Rattus norvegicus: one gene and its partners. The protein of the gene in region 1 interacts with the protein of each later gene in a pairwise test. Links are inferred from orthologs where the notes say so. Each region holds a gene or a part of one and is shown on either strand. Other genes may lie near its edges. The genes, in order: Vasp, Zyx, Trim9 and Abi2.

Region 1 (5,519 bases):
ACAGTGGAAAGCGAGTCTCTTCTCTCCCTGGGCAGCCAGTTCTAGACCCACCCTCCTTCTGTGTAGCTTCATGTACAGTGCCTCGGTTTCCCAGCCGGGGAGTTCCCAACACACTGAGTCCCGAACCCACAACCCTGCAGCTGATAAACTCCACCTGGGCAGCTGGAGGGAACTAAGAGGGAGGAAGCCTCTGGGGACAGAGGTGGCCAAATACTGGCAGTTCCCTCTACTGCTACCCACCCCCAGCCTTACCCCACCATCTCCTTGCACCATTAAACTCGTGACACACACACACACACAGACACAGACACAGACACAGACACAGACACACACACACACACACACACACACACACACCATGAACTCTTAAGTCTCTGAAGCAGAATAGTCCGGGGTGGCCTAGAATGCAGCCCAGACTGGCCTCCAACTTGCCAAGTAGCAGAAGATGACCTTATTGGGTGGGTGGGTGGAGGAATGGTAATGGTAAGTAAAAAACATAGACAGCTCTAGTTTTTTCTTTTTGTAATATTACTAGACTTAGACAATCCTAGGTACAAATTCAAACCTTACCACCGCTAAATTGATTTTTATACATTTTTGAAACTGGGACTCAATAACCCAAGCTGGCCTCCAGCTCCTGGTCCTCCTGCATTCACCTCCTAAGTACTGCGTTACAGGCATGAGTCACCACATCATACTCCCAAACCATTAAACTTTAACAGGCCATTTCCTTAACATTGCTGAGCCTCAGTTTTACTACCTGTAAAGTGGGGGTAAGACCAGGGGCACAAGTTTGTACTTTCATTGCCCTTAACTGCCGTGGAGATGAAAATGGAAAGAAGATGTGTGACTGAACCCGCTACATCACTTAAAAGGGAAAGAAAATAACAACCGCAGCTAGCGTTATTGCAAGAGGAAAGGAGTGAAGCTTTCAGAATTCTGCCCAAGAGCCCTCAGACCTCTGACCCCTTCTCTGCCTTTTCCCAGCTCCCGGATGCAGCAGACACTCGGCAAATATTTGTCAAACTGGGAGAAAAAGAACTGTATCTTGTAATTTTCCATCTCAATCACCACCTCCCTTCCCACTCCCCACAGGGCTGTCCCCAGTCAAACCAGTCCTGCCCCCTTCCCCACCACAGCATAAGAACCTCTGAGGGCACTGGACCCAAGCTTCAAAGTCTGGGGGGGTGGGGCTCAGTTTACCCAGCAAGGAATAAGGAATGGGTCTGTCTGTCTCTGTGTCTCTCTGAATCCTAGCTGTCCTTGGAGAAGTGACACAGCCAAGCAAGTGACCAAGGACGAGGGAGACCCTCTCCTAAGAGGGTGGGGGCTCGTTCAGTTCAAGTTGTGCCTACCCTTCAGTTCAAGTTGTGCCTACCCTCAGGGGAGGGAGGTCTGGCCCTGGCCACAGCCAGAGGGGGACGGGCTGCAGAAGGACGGGGACTGGGGGTGGGGGTGTAAGGGGCCGGCCTAGACGTTGCTCCTGCCCTTTTACGGTCTCAGCGAGTGAGGCGGCACTAACTCGGACATCCGCCATCCGCCTTCCACCGGGCCTGGGACCGGAAACGGGTGGGGGAGGGGCGGGGCTGGGGGCAGCAAGAGAGGAGGGGGGTAGTGGAGGAACTGACCCCCTTTAGGGGGACAGAGCTCCCACGGGGGAGGAAAGGCCAGGCAGGAAGTCTCCAGGGTGTCTCGATGTCCCCCTTCTAGCTCCAGACGCTAACACTCCCACATGCCAAGGGACAAACTTGGGAGGGAGGGAAAGAGGGAGGGGTCCTAGCTCAGGGCCCTAGAGAAGAATGTCACCTAGATGTCAGAGGGCAAGACTGAAGGATGTGCACATGGGGGGTTAAGCCCAAACTGTCCCCAGGAGACTCCTCCTCTAACCAGGGGCTTTGGGGCAGGAAGTCCCAGCCAAAGTGGAGGAAGGGAGATAGTATTGTCAAGATGTGGCCCCAAGGGAGAGATTATGGGGGGGCTGGGGCTGAGAGGAGGGGAGGCCTCTACCAGCCCAGGCCCCACCCTCAGGTGAGCCCAGGAGTTCAGGGCAGGTCCCAGAGAAGACATTAAAAAAAAAAAAAATCTCTGAGTCCCCCTCACCCACAGGATTAAATTCCTGGGAAGAGAGCTGAAAGAAGCGGGTAAGCCTGGGTCCCTGAGGGAGAAGGCTATGACCTTGACGCTTTCCAGCGCCCCCTCCTCCAATCCCACGGCTTGGGGAAGGGGGGTGACACCCGGCGACATTGAGCCCAAGGGGAGGGGCCGTGGTGTGGGGAAAAGCAGCTGGCCACAGTGCTCACTCGGGGGCCCGCCCCCCACACCAGCTGTCTCGACAGGTGAGTCAGGAAGACAAAGGCCCCCCCTCCCCCAGCTGCCGCGCCCCCTCCCTCACAGGCCACCAGGTTAGGGGGTGGGGGTGGAACTAGAACCGTCCTCTGGCCCGGGGGCCAGGAGCCGCCCTGGGCCTGGAGTGCTCCCGGGTCCTAGGACCCACCCAACCTGGGTGCCTAAGGGGAGAAGAGTCCCATCCAGACCCTCTGGGCCCCGTGGGTCAGAGTCTCAAGAACCCCTCCACCAGAGAACCTCCGTGTCCACCAAATTTTGGGACATCAAGAAGTACCCCCAAAGTTAAGGACCGCGGTTCCACTCTGGGACTCTCATCCAGTGCCCCAGACGCAAGGGTCCGAAGACCACAACCCGAGACTCAGAGTTTCAGGGCTCGGGTTCTCAAGCCAGCCTCCCACCTGGTTTTGAGTTTGGGGGCAGTAACTCTGAGCCCACTTATACCAGTTCATCCCTGCGACGTTCTACTTATCTGCGAACTCGGAGGTGCTCCCCCCAAAAGTCTTCAAATTCTGAGTCCCGAGAGCGCCCCTAAACCTGAAAGCCATCAAGAGAACCTCAGCCGGCACCGCCCCAAGCCTTTAGGGAGTAGTGTGGAGAAACGGGGTGTCGATATTTAGAGATCGCTCCAAGAGACATCGGCCCAGATCTGGGACGCTCAAAGCGCTGTGTCCCCTAAATCCAGCCCCGAACGAGCTGGGGGGAGGGGGACAAAGGCGGGGCGCGAAGCCGGGTCCCGGCTGGGACCCGGCTGGAGGGTTCGGGGCTCACCTCATGGCTGCGCAGAGGGCAGGCGGCGCGCCCACGGGGAGTGCTCCCGGGGCGCCCCTGATTGGAAGTGCAGGGGTGCGGGGCTGGCTCCAGGTTCTGCTCAGTCTCTCTCGGGGTCCCGCCCCATAGAGTCCAGCTTCCTGGGGAGAACGTGGACCGGGCCCGGGCGGGTGCTCAGGCGCCTCCTCCCTCCGGTGCTCTGATGTGCTGGGATCCCCTGCGATGGAAAGCGGGGTGCAGCGTCCGAACCTCGCCGGCGCACCCCCTCAGCCGGCAGCACCTACGCGGTTACTCTTACTACTGTACTCTCTTTGCTACATTTCGTTCCAAAATTCCACTCCCCATACCCACAATGCCCTGCGCCTTAAAGGGGCCGTGGACGCCTCCAGGCGGGGGATGGAGACCGTTTAAAAGGCAACGCGGAACCTAGGTCTTCCGCAATTGCACTCCTTCCTCTCAGTCTTGTGGCGTGGGGGTGCACCCTGGGCCTCACTCCCGAGTTGGAGGGGGAAGCTTGTTGGAAGGGAAGGGGCCATTCTTTGATCTCTAGCTGTCTCTACTATGGAATTCTTTAGTAGAGATCTGGGGGTGCCAGTTCTCCATTCCAACTCGCTCGGTGGACTTCTGTTCAGTTTTTATGGAGGGCGGGGGTTCTTCTGGTTAAGCAAAGGATCTCATTAATTTCCACCTTTAAGTAACACTTCCGTACATCCTCTGTTCCCCAGATCTCTCTTCTCAGGTCGGGCCCCACCCCTCGCCGCCCCCCACCCTCCGGGGAAGGTGTGGAGGAAGTGAGCGAGGGGGTGCGACGGGCCGCTGACTCACCGCCGCCGGGTCGCGGCTGGGGTGGGGGCGGGGGTGAAGAAGGTGGAGGATAGACTAGGAGTGAAGGGTTGGAGGTGGGACCCCGATCTGCTTCCCACGCGTGCCCAGCTATGGCTTAGTTTTGCCCACAGAGGATAGTAGGATCGTCCCAAGAATCCCGCAGGCTCAGAGGCTCGAAGACCCTCCCTGGAGCCCCTTCCACGCAAACACGTCGGGGCAGAGTCAGCCCAACCTCCCTCCAAGCCTTCCGCAGTGGGACCCATAGGCCCCGCCCAGAGTTACATCATCATGCGGACACGCCCCTCCCGTAGAGCTCCACCTGGCAGGGTAAAAGGCGTTAACTCTCAGAAAACATCAGTTCCTGACTTACAGATGGAGAAACTAAGGCACAGAGACAGGGAATGGGTTTAGCTTATGATCGTCTTGTTTGGGTCCCCCCCCCCAAACTTACGGAGAATCAATCCACGTGGCCTTTGGCCAGTCTGTTTCCTGGATGGTATGCTGGCTCCCTGTTGGCCTTGCAAAAACCTCATCCTTCAGGCCAAACACTTAATTCTGCACTGAAAAATCTAGTACACTAGTTGTCCTGCCACAAACCCGGAGGCTGAGGCAGGAGGATCTCGAGTTTGAGGCCAGCCTAGGCTACAGGGTGACTTTAATGTCATCTTATATATTTAAGAACACAAATAGAAATGGGTCAGCAGTTAAAAAAAAATACTTGCTACTTTTGCAGAGGACCTAAGTTCAATTCCCAACACTCACAGGGCTAACAACTGCCTGAAATTATAGCATTATGTTCATACGCGCATGCCCACCACCTCCACACACTTATATAGCTGAAAATAATACAAGTAAATTTTTTTTTAAAAATTAAAACCACAAATGGGCCAGATGTGGCAGCGTAACAATAAAAACAGCAAAACAAAACCACACACAAATCCATCGAAGACAGTGGTTTCTGAACCTTCCTAATACTGCGACCCTTTAATACAGGTCCTCATGTTGTGGTGAACCTCCCAACCATAAAACTATTCTCATCGCCACTTCATAACTGTAACCCTGCTACTGTTATGAATCGTGATGTAAATATCTGTAGTTTCCGATGGTCTTAGGTGACCCCCGTGGACGGGTCCTCTGATCCCCTGAGAAGTCACGATCTGCAGGTTGAAAACCTCTGGCCTGGGCTGTAATTCCTCGAGCCCCTCCAGGGTCTGAGTGCACTGGAACAAGACTGGAACAAGCTCAGATTTGTATCGGCTTTTGGGTTCTCAACAAGGCCAAGCTAGAACAACAGTTATCCAACTAAAGGAGAGCCACGTTGCGTGTGCTCTTGGCCTCAAAGTTTTCCTCTGTTTGCCCATCTGTGAAACGGGAAGAGTGAAACTCTATACTGCCTTCTCTAAGGCAAAAGCTAGCAAATTTCTTTCCTATAAAAGTCTCCTTTAGCAGGGCTGGAGAGACTCAGACTGTGAAGTGCCTGTTCTATGATCATTAGGACTGGGTATGGAGTCCCCAGTATCCACATGAAAGTACATCTCTTAACATCAGCAGCACTGGAGGCAGCAGGACATGGCTGATTG
Region 2 (5,481 bases), on another chromosome or scaffold:
AGTCCCACATTAGCTGAATGACAGTTCCAGCTGAAGGCAAGTGCTCCTGAAGCCTGTTGCTCAACACAATGACATCTAGACCCCTCCTCTTCCCGTTCAAACCATTTCCCCATCTGCACTTCTCTATTTTGTCAGTAATATTGTTACTCCTCAACATACCCAGCTCTGAGCCTCCCTGGCATTTGTGTTCGCCCACCCCAGCTGCTCTCAGTTGCAGCCTCCTGTAGGCCCTTCCATTGGAACAGCTCTCATCCATGGATCTTATTTCTCACTGCAACTAATACTACTGTGGCCCAGGAGTGAACTCACCTGCATCCCAGATCTCCCTACCTCTAATATGCACCTCGGCTGGAAAAGCTTTGCAGTATTACTTTTCACCAGTCCTCCTGGCCAAACCACACACAACTGAGACACCATCAGTGATTCTCCAATGCGCACAAGCTCCCTACTGGAGATTTTGTTCTCTAGTGCTTCTGCCACAAATCTCCACCCATCTCAAGCACAGCTCAAAGTCTGTCTGCTAGGAGCCTTGTGCTTTCTGTTCTCCAAATAGCCCTCCTGTGTTATCCGTACCCTGGAATTCTCCACAAGCTCTATCCACCTAATCCTCTTCTCAATCCCTTCTGGATTCTCAAGTCCTCAAGTACCTGAAGGCAGACCAACCTCGTGAAGCTGTTCCTAAGTTGCCAGCCCCCATGCTGGGTCATAGTTTCAAATCCCTGTAACTCAGATTCTGAGCTATCAGAATCCAGCTACACTTATTCCTACACTGTGTCTGAGTACATCCAGACGTTTACAGTTACCAGTCAGATACCCAGAAAGTCCCTTCAACTCAGAAGATCTCTTTCTCTGAACTAACAGGCAACAACTGTACTGTCTGTTTCTATTTTGAGCTCTTATGTGCTAGACTAAGAAGATAAGCTGACTTGCACTTCACCGTTGTTTGGTATGGGTAGCTATTTCAAAGACGGGTGTGTGGTGTGTGTGTGTGTGTGTGTGTGTGTGTGTGTGTGTGTGTGTGTGTGTGTTCAAAGTTCACCCAATTTTACTAGGGTCTAACAACTTGTGAGAAACAGGCTAGAAATTCTACCCTGAACCTGTGACTTCAGAAGACTGAACCTGTTGGAGAGATCTCTCCAGCCCATAGACCCAGCCTCCAGAGCACAGAGCAGTGCCTGGCACTCAGCTGATGCTGGCCCAGCAAGTGTTTCCTGGTGCTGACTATACTTTTATCTCTAGATGGGCCCTCAGGCAATGAAGTGCTCAGAAAACCCAGGAGCCTAGGGATTTAGTCAAGGCCCAAGAATGGGAAAAACTAAGGTTGGGCTAATGATCTCATTCTCCTCTCTAACATTCTAGGGCAGAGGCACAGGGGAAACGTTGTATCCTCTTACTTCTAAACCCCAGCTGCTGTACCGATTGACCCAGGCCCCAGCTAGTCCCAGACTTCCTCCAGAAGAACTTTCTCTCTGCCAGGACAGATAACCCTACACTTCCCCCATCACCACACCCACTCTGGCTCCTCTAGTTCTCTACCCCACCCTCACCCTCTTGCCCTCTTTTTTCTGCAGTCCTATTTCATCCAGCCCCTGGCCTCAGCCTGTGGCTTCCTCACCTGGTTTTGGTTTTGAGCTGGTGGAGGCAGTGGGTGCTGCTTCTCTTGAACTAGGGGCTTCTCCTTCTGCTGAGCATAGGTGAAGCTAGGGGGCTGGGGGGAGCCTGTGCCCACAGAAGAAGGAGCTTCCAGAGGCACCGATTTTTGACTGGGCTGTGGCCCAGGTCCACTTGGAGCACCAGGGCTGAATTTGGAAGCCACGGGAGTAAATTTAGGTGCCACTGGAGCAAACTTAGGTGCTGGAGTTGGAGCCTGAGAAAGGGGACCTCGGGGCTGTGTATTAGCGGAAGACACAGACTGGGGTTGGACATGGGGCTTGGCCTGAGGCTGGGCATGGAGCTGGACCTGAGGCTTGGCCTGCGGCTGAGGTGGTGGCTGAGAGCTAGAAGGGGCCTTCCAAGGAGGTAAGGGTGCTGTGCCCACAGGGGCAGGCTTGGTACTAGGTTTGGGAACAAATGGAGTAGCAACTGGTGGAGGTACATATCCAGATGACACCTGCAAGGAGAAGCAGAAGGGGGGGGATGTACTTAGAGGAGGTGGACATCTCTTCCTGTATCCCCTCCTCTCCTTCTAGGCCCAGACTTTCCTACTGTCCTGCCCCTTACCCGGGCTTTGAAGGGATCGTTCTTGGTCATGTCATCCAGCAGTGAGGACAGAGAGTCGATCTCCAGGTCAATACTGCTCACTTTCTCCCTGGGCTGGAGGGTCAGGGGTCAGAGCACCCATCCCAGTCTTCCCTTGTCGTCCCACTCCCATCGGGAGAGAGTTAAAGACTCCTCTCCAGCTCATGGAGGCGTCCCCCACCCCATCTCCAGCAAAGCTGCCCTCCAAGCCCTCCCTACCTGCGGTGGGAGCTGGGTAGGGGCCTCAGGTCCTCCCTCCTCCTCCAGTGGAGGTGGAGGGGAGGGGAAGATGTCCTCCTCCAGAGGAGCAGGGGGGAATGGTTCTTCGATCAACGGGGGAGGTGGAGGTGGGAAGGCACCTCCCAGGGCCCCCTCTGAGTCGTCGCCCTCCCCAATAACGGGAGGAGGGGGCAAAGGAAAGTCTGGGTAGGAAGGAGAGAGAAGGCTATCAGTACCGGCCCTCGTTCCTTCTCTCAGCCTACTGTTTTAACCCCCTAATCCAAGAACTCTTTTTCTGCATCCCAAGAGCGTGTGCAGACCATAACAGGGGCTCAGGATGCCCTGGGCGAAGCAGGTCGAGTGAGAACGGGCTAGGTTGAAGAACCGTGCAGCTCCCGTTACACTTCAGAGAACGGATCCAGAGGGGAAGATTCCTGGCCCACATTCCCGCCTCCTACCCCCAGGCGGGAGTCTTGGAACAGTCCCAAGGGTTCTGGCTCCTAGCCAGGAGCTCCAAGATGAGGTAAGAACATCTGCTCAGGACAGGGTAGCCACCCAGAGCCCAGCCCCCTCCACAACAGCCTTTCCAGACAACCCCAAATTCCCCAAACCACCGACCCCCAACCTGGCGCCCGAGAAGAATCGGGGCCCCCAATCCCAGCCGCATACCTTCCGGGGGCGGTGGGGGGATCTCGCCCACCCGGCCCATCTGTGCTCTCTGGGCCCCGGCTGCCACAGGAGACTCGCTGTCCCCAGGCCGGAAAGGATTCACTTTGGGCTTCGGGGCCACAACCGGGGCGAACTTCTTCTGCGGGGCGTAAAACGCGGGGGCCGAGACCGAGACGGAGATCGCGGGAGGCGGGCGGGGGGCCGCCATAGTCAGGCCGGGCTGCTGGGGGTGGGTCGTCAGGTTACGCAGAGCGGTGCCGGGCTGACACTCCTCGGTCCAAGAGCCCCTCGGTGACCCCACCCTCGCCTCCCCGCGTCCCCTTCCCGGGACTGCGGAGCTTCTCCCCGCGCCTCACCGCGGGCAGGAGCGTGAGAGCCGCGTCTCGGATGACCGCCTCGGCGCCGAGTCCACGGACTCTGCGTCCCGGTCCGGAGCAGCTTCTAGCCAAGCGGGGAGGGACGACGCGCAAGGGAAGGGAGGGAGGGGGCGGGGAGAGAGCGGCGCCCAGACCATACAAGGAGCGGCCCGGAGAGGGGGCGGGGAGAGGCCGGGGAGGGAGGGCCGGGCAGGAAACTCCCCCAGGAAGGGGCCCGGGTCCTGCCCTGGGCCGCAGGCTCTGCAAAGGTCCGCCTGCGGCCTCCCTACGCATCACCGCCCCCGCCGGGCACAGACCACCCTTCCCCAGCACAGGCCTCTGATGTCATTTCCTGACCTGCCACCTACCCCCCTCCCCCCTCCCGACCCGCGAGTGCTGGAGAACTGACTCACCGTCCGCACTCCGGGGCTGTGCAGGCCGGCGAGTATCCCAGAGGTCCCGAAGCTGCTCAGTCCCGCTTCCCGGGCCTGCCTGCCATTGACTGACCCCGCCCCTCCCTGCAGCTTCAGCTCCGCGTCCCACGTGTCCTGTGGTCAGTCCCGGAACGTAGGACTGAGATGGGACCCTACTCGTGGGTGGGCGGGGATGGTGAGGGGACGTTCGCTCTGCTGGCACCCGGCTCCTAGGCCGGCCTTCTGTAACGCAGTAGTGTGTGAGTAGGAGCCTAAGCGCTCTAGGGGAATGCTAACTTCCTGAGCTAAACTGCCTCTTAAGGCTTCTAGGAATTCGCTTAGAGCTAGACCCGCCTGCAAATTTGTTGCCCCGGGGAGAGTGTCCAGTGCTTTGAGTCCAGGAATGAAGGTACAAGGGCGAAGTCAGGGTGAGCGGTCTAACAACCTAGAAAGACCCAAATAGCCTCCGGGGACCAGTCCTTGAGGATCTCTTCAAGCCTTTCCCAGCCCCTCAAGAGTATTTGGGTTGTCAGCGGCCCCCAGGACAAAGCTCGGTGGAGCCCCCCACTGGTCCAACCGGATTCCTCAGCCTGAGACTGTGCCCCAGGCTACATGAAAGAAGTCTGACAAAGCTGATGTCTGCTTTTCTTACTGTCTTAATCTTCCTTTTCTTTTCCTTCCCTTCTTTTTTTTCTTTTTCTTTTCTTTTTGTAAAATTATACACGGAAACTTCGTCCAAATTATAGAGTTACGCGTTAGAGTCTCTAGTCCAATATCCAACCCTCCGGTGCTTCCTTTGGTTTTACCGTCATCCCTGGCTGAGGTTCTCACTGTCTTCTGAGTTTCCAAACCTTGGCGCTCCCCATCTATTGCACCCTACGGTCCAGAAACCTTGAACTGTGCTTTAGGGGCATGCAAACTAACCCCAGGAACTTAGGATGAGAAACTGGGTATGTTATTTGAAAAGATGGCCCCGGGGGCGCACTTAGGTCCGAGTTAATTAACCCCTTTGGCAGAGATGCAGTACAGAGTGAGGCCAGGGAGCCCAGTTTCCAACCCAACGGACACGTTTCTTCATTCGGTTTCATTGCCTCGACTGTAAAAGGGATGGCATCTAATTCATTTGCCTGCTTCCTTATGTGAAGGAATAAACAGCATGCCATGTCTGAAAATTCTATATAGTTCACAGAATTACCTCCATGCAAGTCCCAAGCTGGAAAAGAACGGAAATTTCCAGCCAGTTAACCTAGGCAGCTTTCCCTCACATGCTCCCTTCCAGTTTGCCAGACAAGTTTAATGTGTCTTGGTTGATTCAATGCCCTTTTCCTTCCGTCAACCTTATGTCTTGAGTCATATCTATGACTGTGCATTCATCATCGTTCCAGGCCCCACACTTTTCTCCGTCATCTTAATGTTTCCATCACCAGTGTTTTGCGTTGCATGTGTGACCATGTATGACACAAAAGTGCTCAGGTATACACATCCTAACATGCACGAGCTGGTCCTAGGCCTGTTCCTATGAAGATCTGTTAGAAATTTGACACTGGATTTATTCTGCGTGTTAGAGATTGTTTCTTGGGCTTCTC
Region 3 (4,878 bases), on another chromosome or scaffold:
GCAGATCACTTTCCCAGCAAAGGGCGGGGACCACTGGTAGCCAAATTAGAAACCATTCAGTCGTGATACGTATAGCCAACGATACTATAGTCAAAATATGCGGCCCCAGGAAAAATATGCGGTTGCTCACAGCCAAGATGTAACAGGGCTTATGGTTGACTCCTGGGAAGCTAGACTCATGTTACTTTGCAGTAAGCTTTGTCTAGCAAACAGAATCTTCGAATTCCTAAAATGCAGACCTGTTGGATCTCTTCAGGGCTATATTGTAATCATGGACACACGATGCACATCTCACGTTTCCGAGCGTTTCTTTTGGGTTTTATTTTATTCCTTTGGCTCATCCCACATCCCGGAATGAAGAAGGCCACAGCATGTCAGTGCAAAAAGGATGCGGGGACTTCAAGCTCCCTTGAAAAGTGACATTTTTTTTCCTTGTGTTTTCCGTTTCTTCTTGTTTCTCTGTGCACTCCTGGCTTCTCCACATGCTTTGTTATGGAGCCCTCTGCTTGTCTCTAATGTATGGAAATGCTGTTACAGTCTTTGTAATGTATATTGTCTCGAGAATAAAATGAAATGGAATGTGGGGTCTGGGTGTTGGCAGGTGTATTGAATAGCCTGGTTCTAGTTGTATCATTGAATCTTAAATGTACGATGTTGTGTTAAAATTAATGGGAAAAGAGTTCAGAATGTTTGTTTTGTTTTTTTTTTAAAGACTCCAAAAGGCATGATTCATTTTTAAAAAAATCTTGAAAGCCCTATTCAGATTCCACAAATTTACTTCCAAACCTGAATATGGAATTTGGTTTTAAAATTTTTTACATTCCATACTTACTGGGCCCCTATTATTCATACAGAGGAAGCAAAAAGACACTTGGCAGAAATTAAACATAAAATCAACCATGAGCTGGAAGAAAGTGGATGGATCCCAGGATAAAGAAAGCTAAGCAAGAAGGTAGTGCTAACGGTTAAGTCTGTTAACTCGGCCCTCTCCTATAGCAAGTTACCTTCTTAACTCTCGTAAAACCCTACCAAGTCAGTACCTTGTCCTTTCTATGGTTTTAGAAATGAACTTGTAAAGACAATATTAAATTTGGAAACAAAACAAAACAACATGATTCTTTTCCCCCAAAGACTCACATTTCCTGGAGCAGTCCCAGCATGACTCAGAAATTGTAGGCCATGCACCTGAGGACACTCTGAGTCCGAATCATTCTCCTCTGCCTTGATCCAGTGTCTCATCAGAAGGGTGGCCAGCTTTACTGGGAAGAGGAGAGTAGAAAAAGCCTCCCCAAGTTGACTCCTGAGCTCCAAGCCCATATTCTACCCCTACACCAGCCTTCCTCCCCATCCCTCAGGTGAGAATAGGTGCTGTAGCCAAGCAAGTTAAGAAGGAAAGTAAATATCTTCCTTTTTCTAACACTCAGGCCATGCCACTGTTGACTGTGAGGTGTCTTTTCCTAGGTTCCACTCTTCTTCCTCTGTGGACCATTTGCCTTAGGCTCATTCCAACAAACCAAGGGCACATCAGTAAACTGTTGGCACAGAGCAGGCCTATCCCTCCCTGGTGATTTCTTCCACTTCTATTGGGCAAGTTTGTCCTCATCTTTAGAAGAGTTGATCTCCTCAGCTTGCAAGTGTTACTGCACAGAGTTAAGCCAGGAAGAAAATAAAACGCAAGCCGCAGCATTTACAGTCCACAGGACAAAGCTTCTGTCAATATGTGAAAGGACGACCTTTGTGTTTGGAAAGAATGCAAAAGCAATTTATATCCAGAAAAGAAAATGAGCATTTAAAAGGGCTTTGGTTTTGTTTTGTTTTTCTTTTTTCATGAATCAGGCCTTTGGAGACTATATTCGGTTGGTGCTTTCTAAACAAATGCAAATAATATTTATTGACCGGGTTGTCACTTCATAGCCTTGATGTTTAGTATCTTTTTATAGGCTGCAATTTTGAGACACAATCTGCATCTTACTCTCAATTAGGCAAGTATACCTACTGTAATTGTTACCTTCTGCCTATGTGACCGTGATGTTCAATTTCCTTTGCAAAATAAATGGTGGCTTTTGTCATGTCAATAAAATTCTCCAAACGTCATTCTAACTCCATTATAACCGTTTTCAATTTCTTAGAAAAATGCCCGTCTTTTTTTTTTTTTTAACGTATGCCTCAACCCCATCCCCTTTCCTTCTGCATCAGTGCAAACCACTCTTTCTGAGCGGTACATGTCAGTAGAGGCCCAAGCAGGCCTGCTGGTGTTGTGTATGCAATGTTCTCAATGGAGTCCTTGCGGGTATTGTCTATCAAGAGAAACAAGCTTTCTTATCAATGTCAACTGTGCTTCCTATTTCTCTCCCCCATGCCTTTCACCGGAATGACAACAGTTGACATTAAAAAGCTGTTGGCAGGTATGGAACACCATTATTCTCTTACAAAAAGCAGAGCTGAAGTGCATGTGCAGTGACTGCGGGCTCAGTAGTCCATCCGCACTCTCACCCCTCAGAGAACAAAGGACTATCCACTGTAGGAAATATGCAGAAGTTGGGGGACAGCACCCAGTGTCCAATCTGCTTCTGCAATGTATATTACGTGCCAGCTTTAGGAGTAACACTTTTCCATAAATTATAAGAGAAGCAACCCGCCCTACATCCAGGTCACCGCTGCACAAGAAAACTAGTTTATGTTGCTTTGTAGCCTCAAGGCTTGCGAGCAGGTACGAGAGCTGACGAAGTTTCCAACACTTCTGCCTAAGGGTATTTCCTGGTTTCACTCAGTGTGTTCTATCCCTCCTCTGTCTAGGATTGTAGATCTAGCCTCCCCACCCCAGGGTTCCACAGGCGTCCTAGTACACCCCTCACCCTTTATGTCTCTGGTGCACTATCCTGCCAGTCACCAGGTGAAGGGACTTGATGGCACTTCAGTCCCGGATCAGCTGGTTTGGAAGTGCAGTCTGAGCCAGGTAACCTCTGCTGGATCGGTCGTGTGTCCTCTGTCTGTTCCTGGTGCAGAGTATCAACTCCCAGGACGTGCCCCCCCCCATCTGCTTACTTACGGTGACTCTGGCCCCAGATCCTTCCTTCCTGCATGGCAGCATGAGAACGCGACACTGTGTGCCACAGTGCCCGGAGGCATTCTGCAGTGCCAAGGCATTACTAATAACTCACTCCCCGTCTGTCGTCCCCAGTGGCGTGGTTTGCGTTTGACCCCGGCTCGGCACACTCTGACATCATCTTCTCCAATGACAACCTGACAGTGACATGCAGTAGCTACGATGACCGGGTGGTGCTGGGGAAAACTGGCTTCTCCAAGGGCGTCCACTACTGGGAGCTGACCATAGATCGCTATGACAACCACCCTGATCCAGCATTTGGCGTGGCTCGCATCGATGTGATGAAGGATATGATGTTAGGAAAGGACGACAAGGCTTGGGCAATGTATGTGGACAATAACCGGAGCTGGTTCATGCACAACAACTCGCACACCAACAGGTACCCTGCAGCCCCACGCCAAGCCTTCTTCATGGTGGCTTGGGTTGAAGAGGAAGAGCCTAGTCGATAGCCTATTATAGAGACAGCATTAGGAAACAGAGCAGATGATCTCTACTGAGTAGGAGGTCCTGTAGTCTCTTAGCTCAGTCCATTCTACTGTTTTCCACAATGCATAAAGATAGAGTTGTTCTCCTCCCGCTTGGCCCTTCATTGTTAAATTCCACTCAGGTCACAAAAGACATCCCTGGGCCTGTCTTTTATAGACAAACCACCCAAGATTGGAAAACCCAGACCTAGGACTTAACCACAAAAGTGTTTGGGGCCAAGGTACTTCAATTTTTTTTTCTGAATTCTGGTTTGTCAATTCTCCAAATTCATATAATAATATGTTTCCATGCAGGAGAGGTCTGAAGACTACATGAGATGAGATTTGCAAAAATGTCTCCCGTTGGAAGTGCCTGGAAATGGAAGCCATTCTTGTTACTATCATTATCAGCAATACCGCTTCTCAGAATAGAAGCCATTAACTAAACTTGGTGTTAGAGATGCCAGTCCGGAGAGCTCTAAATGAGAAGGATTTGCTTGTTAGTGTGAGAATTAGAGCACCCAGTCTGCTGAAGGGAGAATAGTATCTCCTTAAGCAATGCCCTCTATCAACAAGATATTGACAATTTTAATTCAATATACCCTATAATCTCCCTTTCAATTTGTGGTCTCTTCAGTGGATTTCACTCATCATTTCTGGAGCCAAAGGTGTCTTTTGATGACACTGGTCTGTCTTAATCACCCTCAGGATACATTTCTCTTTGGTGTCTCTGGAAAAAAATTAGTTATGTTCAGTGAAATCAGAGGGAAAGCAGGCCCAGCAAGGGCAGAATAATGACCTCACTCTCTCAGCCTCTCCTGTCAGATCACCACTGATGCTTTGCTAACCAGTAGACTCCTAGAGCTTCCCGGTCCTCGGACATTCTCTGTCCTGTTCCATTCGGTCTGTCTTAGTGGCTATCCCTTGAACTGAGCACCCAAAGCAATTTATCTTGGTATCGAATCCAAGTGGCTACAGAGAGCAATTATCTTCAGCGATCCATACCAGGGGAGACTCCGTTACTCGGTCCCTGATACCATGACCCAAACATCCCTGATTCCATCACCTGTACACTTGTGTTTAGCCCCTTGACTCCAGAGTGGTGGGATAAACAATAGTAACACCATCACACGATGCAGAACAGCACATTTCAGAAGCCGAACACATCTCCTTGCATGCAAACTGAATGTGGCTTGTGCTGTCGCTGACAAACTTGTATATAGCAAGATGTAGTCCTTAAGCCCGTCCGTGGCGGTGTCCAGTCTGTCTTCTGCATGCAGGAGAAAGGAGTGGTGTTTCTAAATGTCT
Region 4 (5,478 bases), on another chromosome or scaffold:
GTCATCACACTTTAGAAAAGCAATTTGCCTATGTTTCCCAGAAGTTTATAAAACTCTTAAGACTTTATTGACCATCATAACATTTAAAATTCCAATATTAACTTCACTGTATCCTAGAAAGTAAATATTTACATTTATGTACATTTCTCTATCTGGAGTATCTCTGAGTTCCTTTCCTTTTGCTCAAATCTCACACTAATTATAATTAACAATTAGTGTATATTTATTTACTTAGTTTATTTCCTAAACAAAAAAAACAGATACTTAACACTTAATAACAACAATTATATGCCATCAACATATATTATTTTTTGCCTTAAAAGTTCCATTTCAGCTGCTTGTTGGTGGCCACCCCTTTAATGCCAGCACTCAAGAGGCAGAGGCAAGGGTACTCTCTTTGAGTTCAGGACCAGCATGGTCTACAGAGCTAGTTTCAGGACAACCAAGACTATACAGAGAAATCCTGTCTCAATCTCCTCCCGCTCCCAAAAAAAGTTACAGTTCCATACAATAAAATCCTGTTGGTTTAGTTGACTACTTCTAGAAACTAAGACACAACAACACCATAAAAAGATTAATTGACCATTTGCTCAGTGATCCTGCCAATTAACTTTCATGTATTACAGGGTCACAGACAGCATCAGGACCCTTGCTGGTCAGTCCTTCCATCACAAGAACCAGCCAAATGTACAGCTGGCACTGCACAAATCAACTATCACCAGTTTTATTTATCAATGTACTACAAACAAATCATGTAAGAAATATCATCCTGAGAAAGTACTGCAGTAATAAATCCAGTGACTCCCACAACGGAGGACGACCTAAGAAATAATAATATGTAAACTCTACCTCACATACTGAATTTAAAATAACAGATGGCTTAAAATTCAAAATCCATTTCTAAAAAATAAGTATTTGTAATTTTACAGTGGGTTAGGAACATAATTCAGTGGTAGCCTGTATTCTCAGCATGCACAAAACAGCCCCCAACACCAAAATTGAAAACGTATAAATAACACACGAGCTTTGTTACTCTTTAGGCTAGAATTATAAATGCTAAGACAAAAGTGATCTCTTCCACCTCTCCACTTTATCCATTCATGTACTTTCCCTTTATGTGGCATTATAATCTCAAATTATGGTAACATTCATCTTTCAAAAACCTTTTTCTTATTAGTTGGCCACAATTGCAATCTAATCACTTTTCCATTCCCCAATTTCTCTTCTGACAGACAAGACTTTCTCATAATATGCTATGCAAGGCATCAGAATAAGCCCTTTGGGTCGTTTAGGTTTTGCCTCTCCTAGCAGCTGTGACTCCCTGAAAATAATAAGCATCACCTTTCTGCGCACAATTCCCTACCAAGTATAAATTAACTATTCTTGTTCCTCAGTATACAATAGGGATTAGTTCTAGGACACACTTCTGCTCCACCCCAATCCCCACTCCAACCCCATCTTTGGATGGTGAAGTCCTTTACATATAATGGCATAATATTTACATTCAATCTATTACACATCCTCCCCATAGTTCAAATCTATACATTACTTACACTATCTAATAAAATGTAAATGCCATGTTAAGTAGTTGTTACACTTTGGGAATGACAAGAAAAAGAAAGACTATTTCTTTCTCCAACAAGAAGGGCTGATAGCACATCATCGTATTACTATGGATTCACTCACAGATCTGTCTCTTGAACTATATCATAAACCCCTTAAGAGTTTAGGGGTGTACCACCACCGACAGTTCTGGGCCAAAGAAGACTGGAAATCAAGCGATAAAACTTTTGAATACTTCCTACATAGCTCTGTATTAGTAAATGATCTGACAGACATTTGTGAGGGACTGTGGTCTATCTTTGACCAAAGACACACACCCTTTCTACTGAACACACACTTTCCACCACTTCTTTAAGGGGAGAAGATTCAATTATGTCTGATTCACTCTCAATACAAATGTTTACAACACTGGAAAGGGGGCCACATTTGAAATATAAATACATAAAATATCTAATAAAAATGCAAAAAAAACCTCCAAATGCTTACAACATAATAGAACTCAGTACATTTATAACCAAATAAAATCTAAGCACATTTTCTTTAACAACATGGTCCTCAAAAATCTTAAGAACCTATAAATTCCAGCATCTGGTTCTTTTTTTTTTTTATTCATAGTAAGATTTGAGAATGTTTTCCAATACAACTGTTGTTAAGAAGACCTGCAGAGACGGAGGTAGGAACAAGAACATTAAAATATGGGTAATCGTTTAACACCATGCTTACATTCCACTTTATCCAAAGAATTTAAATGGGAGTGGGGAAAAAAAATGTAGGCACAACCTGTAATTCAGTATAAGCCCTACAGAAAACGAGATACTAGATTTGCAAACCATGAGTTAATTTTTAAAGTGTTGTTTTAATCCACAAAATTTTTACATTTATCCCATGACCAGCTGGTTCTCATCTCACCAATGCCCCGCCCCCCTCCTCACCTTCCTACACACACACACACACACACACACACACACACACACACACACACACACAGAGGAGTCCCTGTGCCAAACCAACCATCATGGGGAAAAAAACCTAAACCATGTGGTTCGTTTCCCTGATTCTTTATGGAAATAGTCATAGTTCTTTTTCCCAAAGGAAAATCACCTATTCTAACGGGAACTGGGAAGGAAAAGCAGCTCATTATCAGTTTCCCACAGGGAAGAAAAAAAAAATGGTATTAACTTGCAATAAGAGACAGCCTTTCCACCATGTCCCCTTTACAACCTAAGTTTAAACTTAAGGGTTAAGAATTTTTGTTTTGTCTTCAGGGTACATTCGCAGGAATGGAGAAGTGAGGCATTTCAGTTTGCAGGAATAGGACCCCTTCAAAAAAGATCCCTCGGAATTTGTGTGATCCACACAAGCCTGCCATCCAGCAAGATTCCGTTATACAGAAAATGCCACTCTCCACCTCCCCCGCCATCCGGAACACTGACAGGAGAGGACAGCGGGGGCGACGGGGCAGAGGCGAGGGGGCGGGACGCCACGCACCGCACCGCACGGCACCGCACCGCACTGGGGACTCGCACGGGGCTGCTGGGGCCTTCTGCGGACCCCGTTTCCTCCAGCCGCCGCCGCCCTCGCCCCGTCTCCACCCCGGCGCCGCTCCCGGGACCTAGTACCGCGCGGCCTCCTCAGCCCGCCGTCACCCCGCGCGCCCCTCACACCCCACGTCCTATCGCGCCGCGCCGCGCGAGGGGCCGCGTCGCACCTGGATGTAGTTGTTCTCGCAGTAGTCGGCCACCCGCTCCAGATTCGTGTAGCTGTCGAAGAGAGCCCGGCGGCCCCCCGGGATTTCCTCTTCCAGCAGCATCTGCAGCTCCGCCATCTTCACATCCTCCTCTTCCTCCTCCTCCTCCTCCTACTCCTCCTCATACAGCCCGCAGAGGCAGCGGCCGCGACGCCCGGGAGAGGAGGAGCAGCGGCGAACGCGGCGGGAATCGGGAGGAGCGAGCTGCACCCCCCACGGCGCGCGACAGGGGAGGGGGCGGCGGGAACGGAGGCGGGGCGCGAGCCGACAGGCCGCGAGGACGGTCACCGCGGCGACGGGCGAACGGACGGGCGCGCGCACGCGCGCTCCCCTCCCTCCGCCCCCGAGCGCCCGAAAAAGATTCCCACCCGCGCCGCCCCTCCCCCACTTCCGGCGTCTCCTAGCGACGGGAGGGCGGGGGCCGGGATGCGCGCGGGAGCGGGGCTCCCGGTTAACCCTTCGGCCCCGCGCGGCCTTCCAGGCTCTGGGAGTCCTCAGTAGCCTTTGTTAGCCGGGCGGGAATGGGCCGCCGCTCCCTGCTGCTTCCCGCTGCCCACTGCTGCTTCCCGCCGCCGCCCCCCATCTTCACCTCTGCGCTGCACCCGGGGCGGGAACCCTGTGGAGGTCATCTGCCTAAGGAAGCTTTCCAGGCCCCTGTGGAGGCCTAGGGAGAGGACACAGCCCCTTCACAAGCTCTGTGAAATATAACACCTCATCAGAACAGGCAGAGCCACTGAACTTCCAAGCAGCTCTAAATGCCACCTTGGACCTCATCGTCTTCTTTACAAATTACTGTTACCTAATCCCAAACCAATTCATTCATTCATTCATTCCCTTCCTCCCCCTGTCCCCACTTCTTGGCATGATCTCCAGTGTAGACTGAGCTGGCTAGAATTACAGCTACAAGTTGTAGTTGCCCAGCCTGGGCCTCCTTCTCACTTGACTTTTTTCAAAATTTCGATGGTAGCTTTGCTGGTACTAATTTCTTTATTCACATGGTTGTCGCATGAATAAAATTAAAAAACACACATTGACAAATGTGCGTTTTTCAGATTAAGTACTACAAAAATTCAAGGTAGTTCATTCTGATCTTGTAATCTGTATATCTAATCTTTTTTCATAAATATGATTGCCCCACAATTGTGGAGTAAACCCTGTGTTGTTACATTAGCTTTATGATAAATACATTACCAGTGTGTGTGAGCTTTTGTAGCAGAGCCTAAAACAGTATTTTTAAATGATGATATGGTCCAGCTGGATCTATTGTTGACCACTTTAGACACCTGTCTTAGCGTGAATGTTCTAAGTGTGAGAAGCTTGTGAAAAACAAAAGGGAGAGCTGGAGGGGAAAGAAGAGAAACCTAAAGAGTATATAGGGAGATAGTTATGTATAGGGCACATACACTTAGTTCAGGAAATGAAAGTACAAACAGCTGAAGAAAACAAACTCCAAACTTCAGATCAGACTCTTAGACAAACTTCAGTAGATCAAAAACCTGTGTTGGGCTGGAGAAATGGCTCAGTAGTTAAGAGCATGAACTGCTCTTCCAGAGGACCAGAGTTTGGTTCCTAACATCCCTGTCATACTGTTCACAATAGCCCTTAACCCTAGCTCCAGGAGATCCAACACCCTGCTCTGGCATCCACTGGTGGACTCATGTGGCATATTCTCACATAGAAACACACACATAAATAAAAAAAAAACTTTTAAAGAATTTTTTAAAGATTTATTTATGTAATGTATATAAGTACACTGTTGGTATCCTCAGACACACCAGAAGAGGGTGTGGGATTGCAGTACAGATGGTTGTGAGCCACCATGTGGTTGCTGGGATTTGAACTCAAGACCTCTGGAAGAGCAGTCAGTGCTCTTAACCGCTGAGCCATCTCTCCAGCCCCTTAAAGAATTTTTTAATGTTAAAAAAAAAACCGGGGTTGGGGATTTAGCTCAGTGGTAGAGCACTTGCCTAGGAAGCACAAGGCCCTGGGTTCGGTCCCCAGCTCCGGAAAAAAAAGAACCAAAAAAAAAAAAAAAAACATAGTTTTCATCTTAAAGGAAATAAGGGTTTATTCTGTAGCCATTTGAATGACTGTGGCCAGGGAACACAGACTCAGGTTACCCCAAATTCCATGTTCCAATGTAGAAACCATTTCATAACATTTTTGTC

What was found.
Region 2: the proteins of Vasp (region 1) and Zyx interact in binary tests that used the Homo sapiens proteins (3 or more experiments, as listed by UniProt). The link is inferred for Rattus norvegicus from reciprocal best matches to the Homo sapiens genes VASP and ZYX.
Region 3: the proteins of Vasp (region 1) and Trim9 interact in binary tests that used the Homo sapiens proteins (3 or more experiments, as listed by UniProt). The two-hybrid records come from large-scale screens. The link is inferred for Rattus norvegicus from reciprocal best matches to the Homo sapiens genes VASP and TRIM9.
Region 4: the proteins of Vasp (region 1) and Abi2 interact in binary tests that used the Homo sapiens proteins (3 or more experiments, as listed by UniProt). The link is inferred for Rattus norvegicus from reciprocal best matches to the Homo sapiens genes VASP and ABI2.

Annotation. Positions count from the first base shown.
Region 1 is NC_086019.1:88,049,659-88,055,177, forward strand, and holds the start of Vasp (vasodilator-stimulated phosphoprotein), read right to left. Parts: upstream 3,298-5,519; 5' UTR 3,120-3,297; coding exon 3,115-3,119; intron 2,813-3,114; exon of another isoform or gene 2,796-2,812; coding exon of another isoform or gene 2,788-2,795; intron 1-2,787. UniProt on the Homo sapiens protein: Ena/VASP proteins are actin-associated proteins involved in a range of processes dependent on cytoskeleton remodeling and cell polarity such as axon guidance, lamellipodial and filopodial dynamics, platelet activation and cell migration.
Region 2 is NC_086022.1:72,202,501-72,207,981, reverse strand, and holds the start of Zyx (zyxin), read right to left. Parts: upstream 3,483-5,481; intron 3,350-3,482; exon of another isoform or gene 3,347-3,349; coding exon of another isoform or gene 3,335-3,346; coding exon 3,127-3,334; intron 2,661-3,126; coding exon 2,458-2,660; intron 2,314-2,457; coding exon 2,221-2,313; intron 2,111-2,220; coding exon 1,616-2,110; intron 1-1,615. UniProt on the Homo sapiens protein: Adhesion plaque protein. Binds alpha-actinin and the CRP protein. Important for targeting TES and ENA/VASP family members to focal adhesions and for the formation of actin-rich structures.
Region 3 is NC_086024.1:94,497,806-94,502,683, reverse strand, and holds part of Trim9 (E3 ubiquitin-protein ligase TRIM9), read left to right. Parts: intron 1-1,940; coding exon of another isoform or gene 1,941-1,982; intron 1,983-2,381; coding exon of another isoform or gene 2,382-2,405; intron 2,406-3,181; coding exon 3,182-3,485; intron 3,486-4,878. UniProt on the Homo sapiens protein: E3 ubiquitin-protein ligase which ubiquitinates itself in cooperation with an E2 enzyme UBE2D2/UBC4 and serves as a targeting signal for proteasomal degradation.
Region 4 is NC_086027.1:69,319,291-69,324,768, reverse strand, and holds the start of Abi2 (abl interactor 2), read right to left. Parts: upstream 3,565-5,478; 5' UTR 3,389-3,564; coding exon 3,272-3,388; intron 1-3,271. UniProt on the Homo sapiens protein: Regulator of actin cytoskeleton dynamics underlying cell motility and adhesion. Functions as a component of the WAVE complex, which activates actin nucleating machinery Arp2/3 to drive lamellipodia formation.